Diceros bicornis minor: one gene and its partners. The protein of the gene in region 1 purifies or fractionates together with the protein of each later gene. This does not show direct contact. Links are inferred from orthologs where the notes say so. Each region holds a gene or a part of one and is shown in the gene's direction. Other genes may lie near its edges.

What was found.
Region 2: the proteins of FOXN2 (region 1) and BTRC purify together in Homo sapiens (affinity purification with mass spectrometry; 3 studies listed by BioGRID and IntAct, counting the BioPlex papers as one, with this or other methods). This does not show direct contact. The link is inferred for Diceros bicornis minor from reciprocal best matches to the Homo sapiens genes FOXN2 and BTRC.
Region 3: the proteins of FOXN2 (region 1) and FBXW11 purify together in Homo sapiens (affinity purification with mass spectrometry; 3 studies listed by BioGRID and IntAct, counting the BioPlex papers as one, with this or other methods). This does not show direct contact. The link is inferred for Diceros bicornis minor from reciprocal best matches to the Homo sapiens genes FOXN2 and FBXW11.

What each region holds. Positions count from the first base shown.
Region 1 is NC_080751.1:37,249,492-37,256,504, reverse strand, and holds the start of FOXN2 (forkhead box protein N2), read left to right. Parts: upstream 1-4,003; 5' UTR 4,004-4,076; intron 4,077-4,273; exon of another isoform or gene 4,274-4,410; intron 4,411-4,599; exon of another isoform or gene 4,600-4,702; intron 4,703-7,013. UniProt on the Homo sapiens protein: Binds to the purine-rich region in HTLV-I LTR.
Region 2 is NC_080745.1:66,481,139-66,489,038, forward strand, and holds the start of BTRC (F-box/WD repeat-containing protein 1A), read left to right. Parts: upstream 1-4,795; 5' UTR 4,796-4,872; coding exon 4,873-4,920; intron 4,921-7,900. UniProt on the Homo sapiens protein: Substrate recognition component of a SCF (SKP1-CUL1-F-box protein) E3 ubiquitin-protein ligase complex which mediates the ubiquitination and subsequent proteasomal degradation of target proteins. Recognizes and binds to phosphorylated target proteins.
Region 3 is NC_080740.1:85,984,158-85,991,501, reverse strand, and holds the start of FBXW11 (F-box/WD repeat-containing protein 11), read left to right. Parts: upstream 1-4,287; 5' UTR 4,288-4,396; coding exon 4,397-4,441; intron 4,442-7,344.

The sequences.
Region 1 (7,013 bases):
AGTCTAATTGTTGTTTCTTTAAAGGTCAACTCTTATTTTCTCTGGCTCCTCTTAAGAATTTTCTCTTTGTCTTTGGATTTTAGCAGTTTTTTCTTGATCTGTCTTTGTGTCAATTGTGTGCATTTTAAAAACATTTTATCCTGCTGGGATTCATTTGTTCAAATATTATTTCTTCCTAATACTGTCTTTTCTTTTTTCTTCTGGAATTCTAGTTATGTGCATATTAAACTTTATCACTGTATCTTCTATGTACTTTCCCTGTATTCTGTATTTTCCATCCTTTTTCTTCTTTGTGCTTCATTCTGTGTACTATCTTCTTACTTATCTTCTAGTTCACTAATTCTATCTTTACCTGTGTCTAATATGCTGTTATACCCATCACTGAGCTGTTATTTTCAGTTAGTGAATTTTTGGGGTCTAAAATTTTCATCTGATTCATTTTTCAGATTTTAATTATCTGCCTAAATTTTTAATCTTGTGTTTTATTTATGCACAGTAAGCATTGTTATTTTTAAATCTGTGTCTGATAATTTCACTCTCTGAATCCCTTTTGGGTCTGTTTTTGTTCTCTATTGTTTCTGCTGTTTTTCTTGTTTCTTTGTGTGACTGATTATTTCTTACTGTGTACTAGACATTGTATTTGCAAAATTGTTTGTGGAAATGATTTAAGGCCTAGAATATTACTTTACTACAGACAGGATTTTAGTTTGCTTCTGCCAAGGGCTTGGGGGCATTAGCTCAAAGGAATTACCCTAATCCAATCTCAGAGTTGAGATGATTTGAAACTGAGATGTCATCCTTTCACTTCTAGGATGTAGCCATTTGGCTTCCTCTTCCAAAGCAAGGTAGCTTTGACAGAGTTCAACAGAGCAACCCTCACTGAAAGGATAAATGGACTTCCCTGGGCCTCTATCATTGCTCAGATCATGGCCTGGTAATTACTATCGTATTAGCTCTCTGGTGCCTTTGAGCTGATATTTTTTATATTTTGCTAAGTTGTTCTAGTGTACTCAGCAGGAGGACTTGTCCAAATTATTGCCAATACCAGGGAGTATAGAAACATAGATATTATTAATAAAATATAGGTAGTTATTCTTAAGAAGTGCATTGAAAAAGATCCTTGAAGGAAAAAAAAATTAGACTTTCATTCACAATTTCACCTTTTAACCCAAGCGGCAGACCAATATTTAGAAATGTTGTATCCTAGTCCTGGCATCACATAATTTGAGGAAAGTTACTTCTTTTATTAACAAATATTATTGAACATCACCTCTGTCCCAAAAGCTGTTCTAAGAAATTAGACTATAAAGATGCAAAAGACACGGTTATTGACCTAAGGTGCTTGAAGTCTACATTCCTTATTGGTAAACTGGTTATTTTTGGAATCATTAATTTATGATCAAAAAGTCTTTTGTTAAATATTTGTAACACAATGATAAATACATTTAAAATATAAATATGTATATTTGAGCTCCTATCACCATTCAGCCTAAATATGAGGGCATTTTAAACTATATATATAGTTTAAATATATATATTTTTTTAACTGTTTAAACTATATATGTATATAGTTTAAATATATATATTTTGTGTGTGTGTGTGTGAGGAAGATTAGCCTTGAGCTAACATCCATTGCCAATCCTCCTCTTTTTGCTAAAGAAGATTGGCCCTGGGCTAACATCCATTCCCATCTTCCTCTATTTTGTACATGGGATGCTGTCACAGCATGGCTTCACAAGTGGTGCATTGGTCTGCGCCTGGGATCTGAACCTGTGAACCTTGGGCCGCTGAAGCGGAGCACCTGAACTTAACTGCTACACCACTGGGCTGGCCCTTAAATAATATATTTTTAAATGCATTTGTCTTCCAGTAAAGTTTACTATTGAATACGTTCCTTTAAAGTATTTTGGAGAAGGAAGAATACAGGCTTCATAAGAGATGTTAAATACCAGGATCTTCTTTTTCCTAAAGACTTAAGCTCTGGTTTCCTAGCCTTTTTACTTTTGAAAACTCCTGGGAAAAGTTACTCATTCTGAACCATCATTATTTTTAATCAGAACTTTTCCTTGGTAGGTGTTCAAAGTCCTCTAAAATAGCCTCTAAGTATACAAGTGTCCCTGGACTCTAAACTAAGTGTGACAGATTTCCTAGGAGATGTGAGCCTTACCCGCAGAGATTATTTAAACATGCCCAGCCTCTCTGTGGTAAATCAGTCAATAGAGATGACCAGTAGAGGGAATTTAGGTTGCAGTAGATTCATTATTTGACCTTGGACAAGTTATATATCTTTTCTGGATTTGTTTTTGCATCCATGATAGATTGGGCTCCTAGATGATATACCTCTAAAGTATACATAGCTTCCAGTTCTCAAATTCTGTGATTCTTTTAGAGTTGAGGAGGACTGTTTGCCCACCTGAGTTTAAAAGAGTTTAGAAGGAAAAATAGAAACTAAAGTTCAATATATCAGGTAAGATATGAGTACAATAATCTGCAAGGAGATGAAGACCTGTATTATGTTAGTGGCCACTCTGACAGTGGCCAGAAGAGATAAAACAAGACTGAGGTCTGAGGAAGCTGTGGCTCTCCAGAAGCCACTTTCTCTCACTATTCCCTTCCTTCTCTCCTCTGCTCCCTTTCTACTACACTCTTCCTCCAGGAACTTCCTTCAATTTGTCCACATGAGGGGGCAAGGGTGATCGCTGTGAAGGGAGAAAATAAAGCAACTCTTACTTCAGTTGAAGCACAGTGTACATTTGCCTTGTGGTCTTTTACTCTGAACGCAGCTGTGAGGCCCTTCAGGACAGTGTAATGAAAAACAAATAGAACTAGTAGATGATGTTGGATAAATCATATAAATGCGTTTTCATCTGTAGAATGTGGGTCGAACACTTCCATTTTTGTTTTTATATATTCTGACGCCTGTAATTCTTGTATATCTCTGTCATCCCCACAGCTTTATTATCGGCAGGCAGCCTGTTTCACTCAGCTCACTTTATACTCAGAGCCTGGCACATAGTGAATATCCAGTTAACAGTCATTGTTCAGGAAGGAAATGAACTTCTGTTAGCACCTACAATGCATCAGTCAAGTCTCTTTCATACACATTTTCTTTTAATTCATTCAACACATTTGTGAGATAGGTATCACCACTCTAGTTTTTAAAGATGTAGATATAGATATTCAGAGACTTAACTATCAGGATCATAGTGATAGTAAAATGGAGGCTTAGTTCTGCCACTTACCTTATATTTGACAGGTTATTTTTCTAAGCCTCAGTTTCCTTACCTGTAAAGTGGGAATTCTGTAAGTTAGTATAGGGTTGGTAGATTTAGCAAAAAACAAAAAAAACAAAACAATAAAACAAAACAAACGAGGAAGTATATCTCAAATGGAGCATTCTTATATTAAACAATTATTCTACGTTTATCTGAAATTCAGATTTAACTGGGCACTCCTGTATTTTACCTGGCAACGCCATCTTAGCATTATGGTTATGAAAATGCATGTAAAGGACTTAGTTCCGTCCCTAGCACTTAGCGAGCGCTCTGTAAATGCTATACTTATTAAATTTTGGATCTGATTCCAAAGTCCTTTTTTATTACCACAAACACGCTGAACTCAGTTTCCAGATAAAACTTCAGTCAAGAGAGGGTAATAATACTTTAAGTTTACATTAGTGCTTCACCGTTCCTAAAGCGCTTTCAAAGCCTGGCCAACGGCGGAAAGCGCTTGGGGAAGCCCACAAAAGCTGGGGCTTCACTGCGCTCCCAGAACAGGCACCCGGGGCCGAGCGCCCCGGGCGACTACTCTCGCCCCGCCCCGCTTCGCCCCGCCCCCTGCCATCTCGGCCACTCAGAGGCCGCGCCGCGCCCCGCCGCACTCCTATAGGTCGTTCCTGGGACAGGCGAGGCCTTTCCATTTTCCCGCCTTCCCCAGCCTGTCAGCCTGAAACCGGCTAGCCTACAACGTCTCCGCCCTGCCTTCCGTGCGAGCCCCGCCCTTCCGGACACCGCATCCCCCTTCCTTCCCCACCCGCTGTTCTGGGCAGCCTGCGGGGTCCCGGGCCCGGCCCTTCGGTAGGAGGTGGGAGGGGAGGGGACGGGGCGGGGCGGGGCGGGCCGAGCCCCCCTCCCGAGGGGTCGCGAGAGGCGGGGACGGGCGGGAGGGGCGGGGCTAATCTCCTTGGCGCCGCGTTGCCACGGCAGCGGGGGAGGGCGGGGAAAGGGAGAGGAAGCGAGCGGGAGGGGGATGTGGTGCTCCGCGGCCGCCACCGCAGCTGCCGCTGCCTGCTCGGTGCCGCGTCTCGCCGGAGGCGGCTGCTGGAAGCCGCCGGAGCAGCTGTGGCGCTCTGCCATATTGTGTCTTCCCCTGCCCGTCCTTCGCCTCCCCGCTGCGGCGGCCGAGCTGACGGTGAGTCGCGGGCGGAGCGGTGCTCTCCGGGGCCCGCGCCGCCCGGCGTTCGCGCTCCCCGCCCCGGCCCGCGGCGCCGCTCCCGGGCGCGGAGGCAGCGCGTGCGGCCGGCGCCGGGCGTGGGGCGCGGAGGCGGCCGTCCCGTGACGCGCCCGGACATTTTTGTCCCGTGAGGAGCTGGCGCCGGCGCGGAGGTCTCCCTTGCGCGCGGCTTGAGTCGTGTGTGGGCTCCCGGGGCGTGTCGACTGCGGGGAGGGCGGCCCCGTGAGGAGTTGGGAGTTTTTCCTGAGAGGTAATGACCGCCCAGGAGCGGTGTCGCGCGGCGGAAACCGCGGCGAGGGGTGCAGGTCTCCGGGAAGGCTCGTGACGCTTAGGGCTCGACTCGGGGCGGGTCTGCTGTGAGGGGAAGTGCCCCAAGCCCCTCGGGAGGCTTTGCAGCGCCCCCTCCCCCGCCTGAGTGCGGCGACACTTGCCGGGCGTGGAGTCCTGGTCCGGCCCCAGGCGGACTGGCTGGGCCCGGCCAGGTAGTGCCCGGGGAGGCGCCGAGCGCGGTCGGGACTGAACTTTGAGCAGCGGGGCGGCGGGGCGCAGGGGTGGACAGGGGCGGGTTCCGGATGTGGGGTGGCCGACCCCGGCACCCTGCGGCCCCTCCTCCAGCGGGCGCCCTGGGGCCTCCGAGGGTGGCTGTCTTGCTGGGGTGGGAGTTAGTGTTTCAGCGCTGCAATATGGACACTTCCTGTTCGCCGCCGCTCTCGGGCCCGTGGGTGCCTCTGCCCTTCATTCCTCTCTCCTGGGAGGGTGAGAGGTCGTGAGGGCGTGTGGGAGGTCCGCAGCCTTCTGAGTTCGCCCCACCGCCGCAGCAGGGAGTCTGGAACCCGGGAGGACGGCGGGAGTCCGGGGAAAGCGGCCCATGTGCGTGCTTCTTCAGCCTCCTGTTTTACTCAACTCTACCCCCTTGCAGAATGCCTCTGTTTCCACCGCAGCTCGCGGGAGTTGGGGTATCTAATTCATTGGGGCACACTCTCGGGATCTTCTTGGACCTGATTTCTGCTTTAAAGTTTCTTTAAAACAGCCGCTGTACTTCGTTTTCTCCTTACAGGAAAAAGTCGTAGCGTACAAAGAAATGACACAGATTTTCTTTCTTCTACCCCAACTCTGAGGTTGGAGGAGGAAGTCGGTTATTTATTTCCAGGATAGTTTCTGCTGTTTCTCCTGTCTTCCTTGTGATTGTGACAGCCACGTGGCCGGCTGAGTGTAATAGAGTGCCCTAGCGCCGCTAGAGCTGAGGCGTCACTGGTAGCCAGGGGCTTTGTAACCGTGCGGTAGCTTTGCATCCAGATTTATTTTGGTATTTTTTCAGATGGGGAAGTGGAAAAAGCTGAACTGTTCATGTCTATCTCTGTTCCATTCGAATTGTGAGACGTTTCCTTGCAGTCCTTGTAAGGTGTATATTGACATTTTTGCCTTCCTCTGCCGTTTTGATGGTTCATCTTTAAAATCTCAGCAGTGTTAGGTACCACTAAGGAGTGATGGAGACTAGAGTGTTACATTATGGAGTTTCCTAACTCTGGGAAAAAATCTTTTGAATTTCAGAACCCTTAATGAGAGGTTCTAATGTAATCAGAAACAGTCACATTCTGGCGGATTTCTTTTTGATAGTTTTATAAAAATCTCAATTTTTTCTTTTTATATAAAAATTGTGACCTGAAAAGATATAAATATATTATCAGTGAAAATACTTGTTTGGGGATGAAATAAATACTCGTTCGATTTGTATGTGTGCACTTTCTTCAGCTTTTTTGGGGAAAAGTGTTAATAGTTAACATGTATGTTAACATGAACAGATTGTATTTTAAGGTAATGAAATTTAATTTTTAGAATATATCAAAATAAAAAGTCAAAGGATCAAAGCTAAAAAATCTAAACTTTTGGGGAGTTTGGAAATTTTTAGAATTTAAGTACATATACTCCTTCGTTATTAAATGCATCGTGTTTCCTTTTGTGAATGCTTTGATGGATTTGAATTATTTCTGTAACATTTTAATTTGAATCAGTTTTACTTGAAGAGTGCTAAATCACAGGAAACATTTAGAATGTGTAAAAGAACTGCGTAGTTATAGCAGCACCATTTATTAGAATTTTAATTACGCCATAACAGTGGTTCCCAATCAGTGAAATTAATAGATAAAAAGATTGGAGAGGCTTCAATGTGGAAAAGATAATTCAGTTGAGAAATGAGTACGTGTGCTGACCACTGAGAGCCATGCTTAGTTGAGACAGAAAAGTAAATGAGGTGACAAAGTACTTATATAAAGCAGGAAGCACAGAAAACATATGCTGGAACGTAACTACATTATTAGTTATGGGATCCAACTATCAAAGGAAACTAAAAAAGATCATCCCAACAGGACTTAGTCTGATTCTTATGGCAGCTTATTGCTTAGCTACTCATTGTATGTGTGTGTGTTGCTTTTAGATTGTTATTTTAGTAACTGGATTTTGTGTAAATGCAAAGATCCTCTAAAATATAGTTTTGAGGACCCAATGCTTTGCTGATTTTTTAGGGAAGAAAAAGAGGTTTAAGATTTGATCCCTATTTTCAG
Region 2 (7,900 bases), on another chromosome or scaffold:
TGGTTGGCTTTGGCCTGTGACAGTGGGAGCTTCTGTTGAGGGAACCTAATCTGGATCACAGTTCACTGTTAATAATGACTCCTTACACTTAGGCACAAGAACACAGAGACCCAATAGGGCCAGCAAAGAAGTAGGAAATTGACTCGTGACCTTTTATGAGGAGAAGGAAGTGAGGGGAAGGGGGAAAAATTCTTTATTTAGTCCTCCAACTAAAACATTATCTCTCCTGCCAATTAAAATACAAAAAACCTTTCCCACTTCTATTGGACCTCTTGACCCTAGGATTAAGCCTATTAGATATTCAAATAGTTGATGGGTTTTAAACCAATTAATCACTTTGCTTCTGTTCAACCTTGAGCTTCGACTGGCTATCCTTGGAAAATAGATGGGTTTTGGGGGGGGGCGGTAATTCTAGAGTTTGGAAGGCAAGATGGGCACGGAGGGAGACTCTGGATAGCTAGAGGTCAGCAAGAAGGCACTGGGCATCTAAACTCCAAGGCAGTGATCTCAAATCTGGCTGCAGATTAGAATTACTTGGAGATCTTTTAAAATTACCATTGCCAAGGGCCTACCACAAAGCTATTAAATCAGAATACCTGGGGGGTAGAGCTTGGGCATCAATATTTTTCATAAAGCTCCTCAAATGATTCCTCTGTGCAATCAGGGTTGAGAACCCCACTAGGTATAGGAAAAGGGAATGCCATGGGATGAGAAAAAAGTGCAGGCATGTATGGAATATTTCTGGCTCTGGCCTGCTATGTGTTATAATCACATGCTACGGAGATGGGGGGTAGAAGAGCAGAGTAGTGTGCTTAAAGAAGGGCATGATCCTTGTGGGTTGGGGTTGCCTAGAGAAGGTAAAACATACAGACTGGCAAAAAGTGGAAAGCCCAATAATGCCAAGTGTGGTGGAGTGGTATGGTGGAAGTGTACACTGTTGTGGTCTTTCTGTACTGCAATTTGCCACTACATAGTCCAATTAAGTGTCCTCCATAGCCTATGAACCAGCAAGTATGATCTTGGGTATGTATTCCCAAAGATATTCTCACTCAGGGGGGCATGCAGGAGGTTGATCACTGCAGCATTATTGGGGGTAATTGGGAACTGGAAGTTTTGCTGGGACAGTGGATAGGCAGAACATGGGGGGTACACACCATCAGACTACTACTCAGCAGTTAGAAGCAACCGGTTATATGTACACATATATAGCAACATGAATGGATCTTAAAACCATAGGTAATGGGTGCAAAAAGTATGAAACATAATGAGATACATAAAACAATATTACATTTGTGAGTTAAAAATGTAGCACACAAAACAATATCTATTTTTCAAGAACCATACAAACAAAAAGATAAACATTGCCTATGGGAGGAGGGAAAAGGGAGCAGGCTAAGGCGCTAAAAGGGAATAAATAACTAGATAACTATTTTTTTAAAGTAAGATTTAAATCAGACCTGGAAACACGAGTAGAAAAGAGGGGGAAAGGGAAGTCTTCTAGAAGGGCAAAATGACTCCCACAAGCCAAGGCCAGGAGGCAGGAATGTGCTGAGCAGGTGTGGGTGGGAGAAAGGCCTGATTGAAGCAGAGGGGTGTATTAAAGCAAAGTGGGAAGTAAGGCGGGAGAGAGAGGATTGGATAAGATTAAGAAGGTCTGGAAGACCAGACAAAGGAATTTAAACAATGATAAAGTAGATAAGAGAGACATAAAAGGATTGAGCAGTGAAGAAATGTGATGAAAGTGAAATCTAAAAGAGATTATCAGATGAGGAGGACAGAGAGAGCCTGGAGTCAGAGAACTGGATTGGAGGTGAATATAGTGAACTAAGCAAAAAAAAGATGAAGGGAGTCCGGAACAGGCTACCATGGGCGGTGGAGGCTGGAAGAGACATTTTGATAGATTACTGGCTGGATACAGACACTAATAGACAAGGATAAGTCAGAGTACTCTGTGGTCTTACACTAGGAAGTTAGGGGAAGAAATTAAGTCCAATAGTAGCTGCGATTTCTCACGCTGGAAATCTAGTTTTCCAGTAAAGTGGAGCTTTAAAGGTTCTAATGATTCAGTATTCTCCTTGAGCAACTAAGCTTTAAGTCGGCTCAGAGGTGCACCCATTTTAGTGTTGGCAGAGATCTTTGTGTTCCACACGACAAAAGAGGTCCAGTTAAATTGCCCAAAGTCAACCAATTAACTAGAGAAAGGATGGGCTAGAACCAGGCCTCAACTTCTAGTCTAATAAACTTTCCTAAACTATGTTGGATATGAGGGACTTCACAGGTAATTCATAGTTGGATTTCTCAGTTTGTTTGACCACAGTGGTCAATTTTCAAGAAAGAGGATTTACCCTTTCTGTACCCAGCCCCTGCCTGCTCAGTTTCAATCTGTATACATATGAACTGTCTAGCTGGTTGGGCTTCTAAACAATAACTTCTTGTATTTGCCTTACTAATCCTTACCTCCACATGACCAGAAAAAGTGAGGACCCTCACTGACTGCCAGCCTCAACAGTCAATATTTTCATACTCCTCTATGCATAACAAAGTAAAACAAACGACTTCTCAACAGAATGGAATCTTAAAGTTTAAAAGATCTTAACCTCCCACCCAAACTGAAACCCCCTAGAAAATACCCCTGATAGATGGTTTTCCTCTATATGTTTTCAGGAATGGGGCAGTCCCTTCCTTTGTCAGGACAGCTCTGATTACTAGAAAGCTCTGAGTCTGAGTACTATGTCACTGCAGTGTGCTTCAGTGAAAATAGCACAGGCCTTAGAGTCAAGCAGACTTGGGTTAGAATCCTGACTACGTAATTTGCTGTATGACTCGAGCAAGTTATTTATCTTTTTTTTTTTTAATTTTATTCATTTATTTTTTTCCCCCAAAGCCCCAGTAGATAGTTGTATGTCATAGCTGCACATCCTTCTAGTTGCTGTACGTGGGACGTGGCCTCAGCATGGCCCAGCAAGCGGTGCGTCGGTGCGCGCCTGGGATCAGAACCCCGGGCCGCCAGCAGCGGAGCGCACGCACTTAACCGCTAAGCCACGGGGCCGGCCCTTTATCTTCTATCAGTCCCATTAACTTCATCTGTAAATTAGAGATAATAATACCTGTTTTACAGAGTTACTATGAATATTAGAGATTATGAAGCCAAAATGCCTAATACAGTGCCTGGCACAAAGAGCTAATGAAGTGATAATTATCATCGTCATCATTATCCCACCCACTGGTCCGAGTCTGCCCTCTGGAGCTACATACATATGCCTTTCAATACTTTCAAACACTTAAATTTAGTTGTCGTGTTATTCCTAAGCGCTCTTTTTTCAGAGTAAGCATCCACCAATATTTTCTCTCTTGGTTATCCTGCCCTTGGCTATGACCCTGCATATGATGTTTGTAGAACATGGTGCCCATAACTGAACAAAGTACTCCAGTAAGACCATAAGCCTCTATTCCCTAGACATTGCTCTTCAAGCTGCCTAGGACTCCTTTAGCTTTTTTGGCAACAGTGTCACATCCTGCCTTAATCCTACGAAAACTTCCAGGTAGTTTTCATACGAATGAGCTTTAAGTCTTCTCCATTTTGTACTTGTGTAGAACTCTTTCTTTGAAATTAAAAAGTAAGACTTTTTATCAACTGAAAGCCTGTTATATATTAGGTATTCTGCTGAGTTCTGTGGACATAGGGATGACTAGGACAAAGTATCAGCATACTAGAAACGTAAGCTCCACAAGTCTTTGTCTATCATGTTCACTAATGAATCCTCATTTCTTGGGATGATGTCTGCACACAATTATATGCTTAGTTTGTTGAACGAATGAATGAATAAAATAGTTTACAATGGAAATTTTCCCTATAAGTAAAAAGGAATTTCCCTAATACACTTATTTTATAAATTCAGATATTTTGTACATGCCTATCACTTTTAGCCCAACCCTAGTGTTTTTTCCACCTAGAGTAGACCTAATTTCCAAAATAAATTCGTACTGTCCCTTTCAAGGCTAGACTAAATACTTACATGCTTTATTTGCTGGATGGCGATTATATTCCACCATTGAAGGCCTTTTGTAAGTACTTGTTTGACATTTAATGCAGGGCTCACTTCTCAGGGTTAGCAGTAGCAGGTCATGCTTTCTGAGAGCTAAACATCGAGAATTTCCGGAACCGAGTTCTATCTGGCCGTGACTTGCTGTGGGGGAGAATAAGGTCCTCGGGAGAAATGTGAAGCAATGGCTTAGCAGGACCTTGAAATTTTGCATTGGTCTGCGAAGTCCTGCCAGGTGCCCATAGGCCCAGCGTCTCTGGGTCAAAATCCGTCCTGCAGACGCCAGATATATGAAATTTGGGGCTGTCCAGTTCTCTAAAACCACAGTTAGGGAGGGGCTAGGACCTCTGAGTCCTTTCACAGTTTTTTCCAGTATTTGGGCTTAAGGTGAGGCACTCGTCGCCATCTCGATATCAAATACCAGGCAAGCCGTCACTGGCGTCTTTCGGTAACCACGGAGACAGCCGTGCCGCTCCGTAGAGGCTGTAAACTACGATTCCCATCAGCTGATTATCTCTGCTTGCCGGCGAGTGTTTAGATTTGGCTTTTCGATCCCGCGACCCTGCCGCAGTGAACTGCGGGAGTTGCAGTTCGCGGTGTGGACTCACTTTTTGCTGCGGGAAGCTCCATAACTACAAATCCCGTGAGCCAGAGGGCTCACGCATGCGCACAGGACAGCCGGTCCTCCCTGGCCCCCCTGCCGGTGCCTGAAAGGTAAGAGAGGGCGGGGGGAAGGAAGAGGAGGCGGGATCCGGGAGCTGCGTTGGCTGCGGCCTGGCACCAAGGGGGCGGCCCCGGCGGAGTGCAGACCCAGTGTTCCCCGGCGATTATGGACCCGGCCGAGGCGGTGCTGCAGGAGAAAGCGCTCAAGTTTATGGTGAGGAGAAGGGGCAGGCCGGGAAACTGTGGAGGCGGTGGCGTTGGCAGCGTCGCTGAGGCTCGGGCCTGGGCCGCCCACCCGCCGGAGGAGCGGGCAGCGGGACCCTGGGCAGAGACCGGCGGCGGGGGCGGCTGAAAGGACGGGACGGGACGGCAGCTCCAGGGAGGCGGGAGGAGGTTGCGGAGAGGACCCGGGGGTGGGGGCAGCAGTTCCGCCATCTTGTGGATGAGAGGCCAAGTGACAGCGGGAGCTTAATCGGGGAGGGGGCTCTGGGTGGCGCGCGGGGCCCTGGAGTGAAAGGTGCGTGGGGACAGTTACTGAAGAGCGGAGGAAGCCGGGAGGAGAGACGCCGTGAGGCCGCTGACAGGGCCTTCTCGGTGTCAGGGTTACGGGTAAGGCCTGGGAAAGAGGTGCATTCAGGAGTGGGGAAGGGGAGCGCGGGATAGTGGGAGGAAAGATATTGCGAGTAGGGGTAGGGGAAAACGGGCAGGGCTGGATGCAGGTGGATCTAAGGGTGGAGGAGAGAAAGCCAGGGCTGGTGGGAGACTTGTAGTTTTGTAGAATGACGGAGGAGAGAGAGCTTTTGCCTTCAGGATGCAATCGCAGCTTGGCCAAACTAATGTTGACAAACTCCGGAAAGGAAGAGGCCTTACTTAGGAAGATAAGGACTGGGGATGGGGACCTAGGGCTATGGTGACAGTCTCTGGGAAAGGAAAGGGATGTTAACCATGAGCCAGGATTACAAATGTCAGAAAAGGGATACATACTCTACTTAGAAAGGAGAGGCTAAATATTGTAGTACCGACGAGGTAATGAAAAGCAAGAGGATTGGTCAGGAAAACCTGGGTACAGGAGATTGGGGGCAAAATTCATATCTAATAGGGAAAACAAAACAAAACTATTGCTAAATTGTAGAGCTAGTAAAATGTGGGGCCCAGGTGCTGTATCACTTTCTGGGAAAGGAAAGGCTGTAGAGATTAGAATCGCAAGACCCATAAGAAGTGATGAGATCAGTAGAGAAATTCAGGAGATAAAAGGGGGAATGTAGATAGTGGGGAATGGGAGATATCAAGATTGGTGGTTACTTATCAGTTTTAAGTTGAAGCACAGTATGAGCTTGGATTGGATTTTGTGGGTGTGTTTAAATCCTTTGGAACCTAGTTCTTTAACTTTGTATCATGCTTTTCTTTTGCTATGCTTATGTTTGTATAGTCTGATATTTGATGTGTTTGATCTGATGGTTCTTGTATATCCTAGGTGTAAAACCAGACTTTATGGTTACAGCTAAAGAGTGATGGGATGCATAGACTTCTATCTTAACAGGTGATCTCAGGGACATTGATATTATTTACAGTTGCATCGTGCTTTTTCAGACGTGATTGTAACTTGTCACTCTAAATCTTATTTCTTTGTTAGTTGTTATTTTGTATCTTTGCCTGAAATACTAAAACAAATCTAAATAAATATGGACACTAACCTAATTGAATTCAGGCTTTAAACTGCCCCATTTACAAGAATACTTTTTTACTAAAACTTTATTTATTTTGTATTAGTACTTTCAGAAACACCTAACTAAAGTTTGAGTGTATCATTAACAAAATTCCATTAGGCCTGAAGAAGGTTCTTGAATTTTTGCCCAATGATGAAATTCTAAAATATTAAGAAGAGACTTTGAAATTTTTTTGCACTCCAGAAGTAAGAAGAAGCTGCTTTATATCTCAAGCCAGCTTCTAGATTTAAGTCAGAAAAGTGGCAGCTGCTTATTTTTGTTTTCCTGTTTAAAGGCTGACTCGATCCTAATCTTGACACTTGTGTCAGATTTATGGAATAATGTGTGATTTACAGATCATAAAGAGACATTATGAGATCATCTTCTTTACTCCCCATTAGACCTCAGCCTAGGACGTTCTCAACTACTTGATCTCTGCTTTGTACCAGTGAGTTATGTTTCGATAATGGTCTCCTGACTGAGTTAAAGTGGACCTGGAGATTGCCATGTAGTAGTTTGCAGCTTTTAGGGCACCACACATTATTAAATGTTGAGTCAGTTTCCATAGGGAGAAGCCAATTTTTTCTTTAATTTTAGTTACTTTCATTTTTGACCTTGCCTGCTATTGTGGCTGCTGTTTGAGAAAAGGCCAATGTGAAGAGGGTCACCAAGAATGACACCTTAATAACTGAAGCAAAGAATGGAGAGTTAGAGATTTGGTATTCTTTCTCAGCTCAGTAACAGTCTTATTATGAATCTGAGTAAGTCACAACTTGCCTTTGGTCCCATTTACCCTGCTATAACATGTTGGTTTCTTCAGAATCAATTTTGAGATAGGAAGATATTTTATTTGTGCTTGCACCAAGTAATTAGTGCACAGTACACATGGAAGGGCTATCCTTTTAATCAAGTTGAAATTTTTGTATAGTATTTGCCTGTGTTTTGGCCTTACCTCTTCCTTCAGCTGTGAATTGTGAATGGCAGTTTTTGTACGGATACCCTGATTTCCAGTTTAAGAAAATGTAAAATTTGTTTAAAATGCCAACATGTAGTGGATATTCTCTTTCATGAATTTTTCTCATTACCACATTAATATGGTGCTTTGATTAGGAATTTTACAATATAATCTTATTAATGAGACTACCGAGTTGAACTCGGAACTACTAATTCCGAGTTGAACATAATTCATACATGCTCTAGGCTTAAAGTTTACCCTTGCATACTTGTGAAAAATAGTTTAAGCAGGAGGTTTAACTTCTAGACACAAATGATATTATTATTATTATTTTTTTGTGTGTGTGAGGAAGATCAGCTCTGAGCTAACATCTGTGCTAATCCTCCTCTTTTTGCTGAGGACCGGCTCTGAGCTAACGTCTATTGCCAATCCTCCTCCTTTTTTTTTTTTTTTTGCCAAAGCCCCAGTAGATAGTTGTACGTCATAGTTGCACATCCTTCTAGTTGCTGTATGTGGGACGCTGCCTCAGCATG
Region 3 (7,344 bases), on another chromosome or scaffold:
CCCCAGCAAGGGTTTATGGTACATTGATGAAAAGAGATCTCATTGAGTCCAATATTTCGAATTGGTTCTTTTTTTTTTTTTGTGCCTCTACTAGTATCTATTGCTGTATAACAAATTAACTCAAATTTAGCAGGTTAAAATAAGCAACATTATCTCACACAGTCTCTTGTGGGTCAGGGATCCAGCAAGGGCTTAGACAGGTGGTTCTGGCTCAGGGTCTCTCATTAGGTCAAGATGCTGAATGGGGCTACAGTCATCTGAAGGCTTGACTGGGGCAGGAGGAGCCACTTCCAAGATGGCTCACTCACAGGCCTGGCAAGTAAGTGCTGGTTGTTGGCAGGTGGCCTCAGTTCCTTACTATGTGGACATCTCCAGAGGGTTGCTTGAGTGTCCTCAGGATATGGCAGCTTTCTTCCCCAAGTAACCCAAAAGAGAGAGCGGTGAGGAAGCCACAACACTTCTTATGATCTTGTCTTGGAACTCACACCCTCACATCTGCCATATTCTCTTAAAGTTTAATACAAAGAATTATTAATTAGTAACAAAGTACTAAGTACTAAGTGGTAAAGACAACTCTAAAGAATACAGAAATAGCAGTTATAGGGAGCGGCCTGAGGCAGAGTACCTAAGGAAGCAACAAACTTGGAAGAGCCCGGCCACCCTCACTGCTAGGCTGAGATTCAGACTTCCTTGGAGAGAGGGTAGTTATGGCCCACTGGATGGTGAAGTTTGCTATGCTACAGATCGGGGCTGGCAAGCAGGAAACTGCCTGCTGAGGTGCCACTGAACTTGGTGGGAAGCCACCCTCTGGACGTCCCAGCCACCCGTGTGGAAGACAGGAGGATACAGTTCTGCAAACCATTTGGTGCCGTGTGCCACAAAGGCAAGAAGGACAAGAAAGTATACTGGAACCAGGAAGAGAATACTCTTCATTCAGCTGTGTTCCTCTAGAGCTCTCTATTGACAAAGTTAAACATTATGCCAGCTGGCAGAGGATAAATAAATACTGGGTTCCACTCCAGTATTTCAAAGCACGGAAAAGAAGGATGGATTTGGAGCTGAGAGGCTATAAATTAATAACAGGTGCACATATGTTCCGCTGCAGGAAAAACAATGCATTTGGTTATGCAGTGCTGTCCTAGACCCCAGTGGGAGTGTTACATTTTGTATACAGTATGTGCCCCATACTGCCTTTGTATAATCTAAACGATTCTGAATTCTGAAACATATCTGGACCTCAGGGTTTTGGTTAAGGGATCATGGACGTGTACCACTTCATTGTTAGCATGTCTTGTAAACCCCAGTGCAGAGCTATCTGAAAAACTGGCGGGAAAATATGCCTCAAAGTCTTCTGCCTTTATCTATGACCAAATCTTATCACAAGCTAGCACCAAGTGTAAAGCAATAAAAATATCTGAGCACCTATTTCTTGTTCGAGAAGAGGAGGGAGCACAGTGATAAGCCTCGGTTCAGCTTGCTCCTCATAGAGCTTGGTTAAACCTTCTACTATACACATGGCTTTTTAATCCCACTGAGCTCCTGGAATCTAACCCAATAATACTAGTATTTTTTCCTCTGAAGGTGGGATATGGTTCTAATAAAAGGATAGAAACCTTGAGTTTCAAAAAAAAAAAAACAACACCTTGAGTTACCTCCACTACAGTTCCAATGCCAAAGGCTGCAAACTCAAATATCTACATGGGTTAGGCGCACAACTTAAATGAACGAAGCACACAGTTATAAGACAACAGGGAGTGATGGTGACAGTGGAAATCTACCAAGTACATGCTTCGTATAAAGAAGGCAGTTTCTACTTAACCCCTGCTTACTGTTGCCATGCAGATCCAATATAGTCAGTCTAATTTTTCAAGAGAAGCTGGAGATTCAGATTTTAAAATGTGAAACTGTCAATTTTTAAATCAATAAAAAAGATGGTGTAGGATGAACATACATATTAGGGGATCATATTCAGCTTGTGACTCCTACCCCAACCCTATGTGCTAAGTCCTGTGGCAAGTACTGGGACCTTAGAGGTAGGTGTTGGTTGGCTGTTACAGTGGTGGTCTCTAATGAACCTCGACTCTCTGTATTCACAACCTTGTATAGTCCCTTCCCACATTGACTCTGGGCTTGCCCATGTGACTTGCTTTGGCCAATGGGACATTAGCAAGTGTGGTGCAACCAAAGGTTTGATAAGCATTTGCTCAATGAGGCTTGTCCTCTCAGAAGCTAGTCACCATGCAGAAGTTTGCATGATACGAAGCCAGGTGGAGAAGAGAGGCCCTAAAGGATGAGAAGCTGTTTTCATGAGCTCCCAGCTGACTGAAGTCCCATGAGTAACCTCAGCTTATACTATGTAGGCCTAGCTGAGTCCAGTAAACCCACACAATTGTAAAAAATAATAAACCACCGTTATTTTAAGCTACTAAGTCTTGGGGAAGTGTATTATGATGCAATAGGTAACTGAAACAGAGGTCATTAATTCTATCTCCTTTGTTTTACTAATGAATGTCCCAAGGCCCAGATAGGGGAAGGGGTCTGGTGAAATTCAGACAGCAAGTTAGTGGCAGTAACTTGCCAATTCTGTGCTCTTTCTTCCTATTGGTTTTTTTTCAATTCCCTTGGTGGAAAGCACCAGACAAGGACAATGAAACTTCAAACTCTACGTGCACGGAACCTACACTATGTCCTGCATGCATACAAATTACTGTAATAACTTGGTCCTTGGAAATGGAAAGATTTCTAGGCCATCTAGTGCCCTCACTTTACAGGTGCAGAGAATGCAAACAACTTGAGAAAGAGAAAAGCAGCCTCTGACATCTGGAAGCTGGCCTGGTACAATCAGCCAGGCTGTAATGTTACTAGATGATAGCCTGGCCTCTGTTGAACATAATTTCACAGAACATAAACATCAGATGAGGCCATTCTGTGACCATGATAGATCAAGACCAAAACAAGATCCCTCTTTAATTATATTTGAACACAGATAAAACATGAACATTGTCCAAACCACAAAAAATGACCAAACATCCCCCATCATGGCTAATGAGGGGCTCCTGCTTCTCTACCAATTACAGTTTCAGCCTCAGTCTAGTATTCCCTCCTTCCAGGTAAGATTTTTTGAGATGCCCAATCATAGAATTACCCCCACTGCCTGACAGCATCTAATCTCGAGTAAAGCCCCACTTCCTTAAACCCTCTCCCAGATCACCTCACAACTCTTGCTGAGATGCCCCAGGTTCCTCATGGTGTGTGTTGTCCCTCACTGCAACCTGTAATAAACGCAACTTGTTCAGCTATCAGTGTGTCCCTGGTGGTCTTTGGTTAGAGGGCACTGACAGACCTGACAAAGTTCACACAGAGTTGGAGGCAGAATTCATTAGAAGGAGTCTCCAGGTCTCCAGCTGTGTTCCTGCTCTTTTGGTTAATGTCTGTCTTCCCCCTACCAGAATTAAGCTCCATGAGAATAGAGGCCTTGTCTGTCATGTTCAGAACTGGTACCCGGCAGAGGCTGGAAGTTTAACAAATATTTTCCGAACGAATGAATGAGTAAGAGGGGCTCAGTATACACAGGTTCCCTTTCATCTCTCAACTCCTCAGTTCGTGGTGCATACAGACAGAACCACAGTTCACCTCCATAAACCTCTTCTCCAGCTAATCTGTAAACCCCTCACTCCTGGGGTGCCCAAACTCGCAGAGCCTCCTCCCTCGCCCGAGCTTCTCTCGCTCGCTGGCCCCCTCTCACACCTGAGCCCCAAGACCATCCCCTCCTAACGCACCTGGAACCCATCTGTCTCCAACACCTGTCCCTACCACCAGGCGCTCGCGGATCAGCCGCGCCGCTACATAGGCGTCATGTGGGCACTGCGGTCACCAACGGCGCATGTGCGGAAATCGGACGCACACGCAGGATCTCTGACAAGTGAAGAGGTGCCGCGGAGTTTCCGTCCCGGTCTGGGTAGCCTAGGGCTGCCAGGAAGTCAGGAGAAACTAGCCGGAAGGAGAGCCCGCGCGCATGGCTTTCTGGGATATGTAGTCATGGCGCTTTCGAGGTCCTACCTTGAGGGATCCTTTAATCCTTTAGGTTTGCACGTCCCGCATTCGCAGTCCCGTGCTACTTTCGGCTCAGAATTCAGCTTCTGGCTACCAGGAGAGATTGGCCTAGTGTCGGCTTCTCGTTCCCACAACGCTCTGCGGGGCCCGCGGCGCCTGCTGGGAGCTGTAGTCCTCGGTCTGCGTACTGCGTTCGCCGAGGGGGAGGGCGGAGCTGCCGGCGGCCCGGGCGGGCTGGCAGCTAGAGTGGGTGCGATAGCCGCCTCCGCCTCTGCCGCCTCCGCCGTCGCCTCCTCCGCCCGGGCCGTTCGCTGCTGCGCGGGGAGAGCGAGGCGGGGCCGCCATGGAGCCCGACTCGGTGATTGAGGACAAGACCATCGAGCTCATGGTGAGTGCGGCCCGCTGGACCGTCCGTTCTTCCGTCCGTCGGGCCCGGGGCGGGCCTGCCCATCTCAGCGTCCGGCGCAAGGCCAGCCCTGGCCCTTCCCCGCCGCCTCGGCCCCGATCTGGACCCCCCGCCTTCCCTGGCCTCGGGCCCGGCGCGGTTCCTCCGGATCCCTCGAGATCTCAGACCGGACCTGGCCCGGCCCCCTCCATGCCCCTCGGTTCTCCTCCCTCCCTCTGTCCTATCTCCGGGCCCATCTCTCGAACGACCCTCGCTCGCTTATGCTGTGGCCTTAGCTCCCCCTCGCTCTAGCATCTCATTTTCCTTCTTTTAGAAGGGGATTTTTTTCCCCCCTATTTCTCCATCCCAGGCCTGCCCCGCTCTTGGAAGCCCCACTCAGTCCGAGTGAGATGGTGGTGGGAGGGGGTACGGAGGAGATCGGACAGGGCCTGGGCCTCCGCGTCCTAGTAGGGGTCTCAGCACCCTCTCCCCAACCCAGGGCTGTGTGGATGCCAGGATAGGCCTACAGGGGTGGAGGTGGGGAGCTCTCGGGTTTGAGGCTGTGACGGATAAGAGGCCTTTTTCCCGGGCCCCTGTGGTGTCCGGCTACTTGGACAAAGGGTTTCCTAGTCGCCGAGAGGGATGTTTGCATAGCAAGGCCCCAGGTACTCTGGATTCCATCTCCCCGCAAAGCGAAACCGTCACTACACGTTTTCCAGAGCTGTTTTGGGAAATTGAGGAAGAAGGGGGAGGGGTGGTTCTCATCACTGCCGCCAGTTCTTTCTTCTTACCAAAAAAAAAAGAAAGAGAATTCTAGGCCCCTGGGGAAGCGATCACTCTTCTGTTGGAAACCATTGGTAGCCAGGCCAGACTCCCTGGCCCCACGGAAACCCCAACCCCCTTCCGCCTTAGGACTTGGAGCCAGAAGGGGTTTTTAGAAACAGGACCATGAGAGAGTGGCTTGTAGAAGCGAAGAATTTGCTACTTGGTGAATGATTTGCTGGAAGAAATAAAAAATGGCAGCTATGACCTGCCAATTTGAACATTAGGGAAATCAAACTGGGCTCTGGAGAGTTAGGAGGAGGAAGTCTTTGCCTCAGCAAATGGACATGCCCAGGGTTTCTTCCTGTGGAAACCTTGACAGTTTCTTTGTATCTCTCCTGACATAGTAACAACTTCTACCCTAGGCTTGAGAGGAAAGGTGAAAGAATCTACTTAACCCAGCGAAATGTTTTCCTAGCCAGATTTTCTCCAGTATGAAAATGTTTATTGAGTCAGTGATTCCACTGGGTAGGGTCGGTGACATCAGAGCCAGTTCCCCCATTTAATGCTATAAATAATAAATGGTGACACTGAAAGTCTGTTGGAAGCTGCATGGTTTCTGTGGATGATGGTATCTGGGGAGTTAAGATGCATGTTTTAGAAATGGAAGTACAGTAGCATCAATACAGAGGCAGGTTAATATTTGCTGTCCTTTGCATAATTCACAGAACTAGGCTTTTCCAGCATTCTTGAAAACTAGGAAAAAAAACCTCTGGTAGTTTCTGATTTGTGTGTCTGTGCATGCATGTGTGGTTGCTTTCTAAGGGATACTGTCACTTGTGAGTTTTTGGTTTTCATTCATTAAGTAATTTTTTCTTTTCAGTATAATTTATCAAACTATTATTGTAGTCAAGCCTGATATTCTGCAAATTTTGTAGTGGGTTATTTTAGTAAAATACCTTGAATGGAATGACATATATAGTACATGTACTTATAACAGGAGGAGTACTTCACATCGAAAAATTGTAACTTGGTACCTCTTTGAAATTGGCTGTTCTGTGTTCCTTCCATTTCCATTCATTTAAAAAATAACTAAAATGTCTTTATTTTCAAAAGAGTTAGAAGTGCAATGTACTCCATTTAGTGTCTTTGAGTGTATGGTAAAAAAATCTATGGCCTACGTTTACTGGCTTCCTATGCTCATAACTTAAAAAAGTTTTGATTTTACATGATAGTACTTGTCTATGATCTGAAAAGATATTTCAAGGGCGTAATAAAGTGAGATTCTTAGAAAATTTAACAGAGTTTAGTGGTTATCTAGATCAGTTTTAAAATGGCTTTTCAGCGGCCGGCCCGGGGGCGCAAGCGGTTAAGTGTGCGCACTCCACTGCCGCAGCTTGGGGTTCGCCAGTTCGGATCCCAGGTGCGCACCGACGCGACGCTTGGCAAGCCATGCTGTGGCGGCCTCCCATATAAAGTGGAGGAAGATGGGCACGGATGTTAACCCAGGGCCAGTCTTCCTCAGCAAAAAAAAAAAAAAAAAAAAAAAAGAGGAGGATTGATAGATGTTAGCACAGGGCTGATCTTCTTCACACACAAAAAAATAAAATGGCTTTTCATATGCAGATTTTGGTATTCCCTCAAAGGGATACCAGTTAAGACTCTTAGGCAACCCTTTTCATAAATGTATATGTATTTTAGTGTCGTAGATAGCACAGGTACTTAACAAGTGATGTAGTAAATCTAGCATCAGATGTAGGAATGATAATACCTTAAAATCGAATTGCATGTGGTTTTCTGTGCTCACTGCATTTTAATTACTGTTTCCAGAACTAGGTTAAAAATATTTTTTTATATTGGTTTCAAAATAACATGATTGAAGGAGGGGAGGGGGTTAAACTGATGGCATTTTGAAAGCCTAAAGCATGAAATATTTTTAGATTTTTATGAGTCAGCTTCAATACTCAAATATTTGTGATTGTGCTGCCTGTACCAGTTTGGTACTTAATGGTTAACAGGATAACTTTCATTTGATATTCTAGAGCGGGCTGTATTAAAGAGATGAAACAGACTTCTTGGGTATCTCCAATTTCTTAATCTTCATCCTTCTACTCTCTTTGATTTTGATTCTTTCTCCTTTTCTT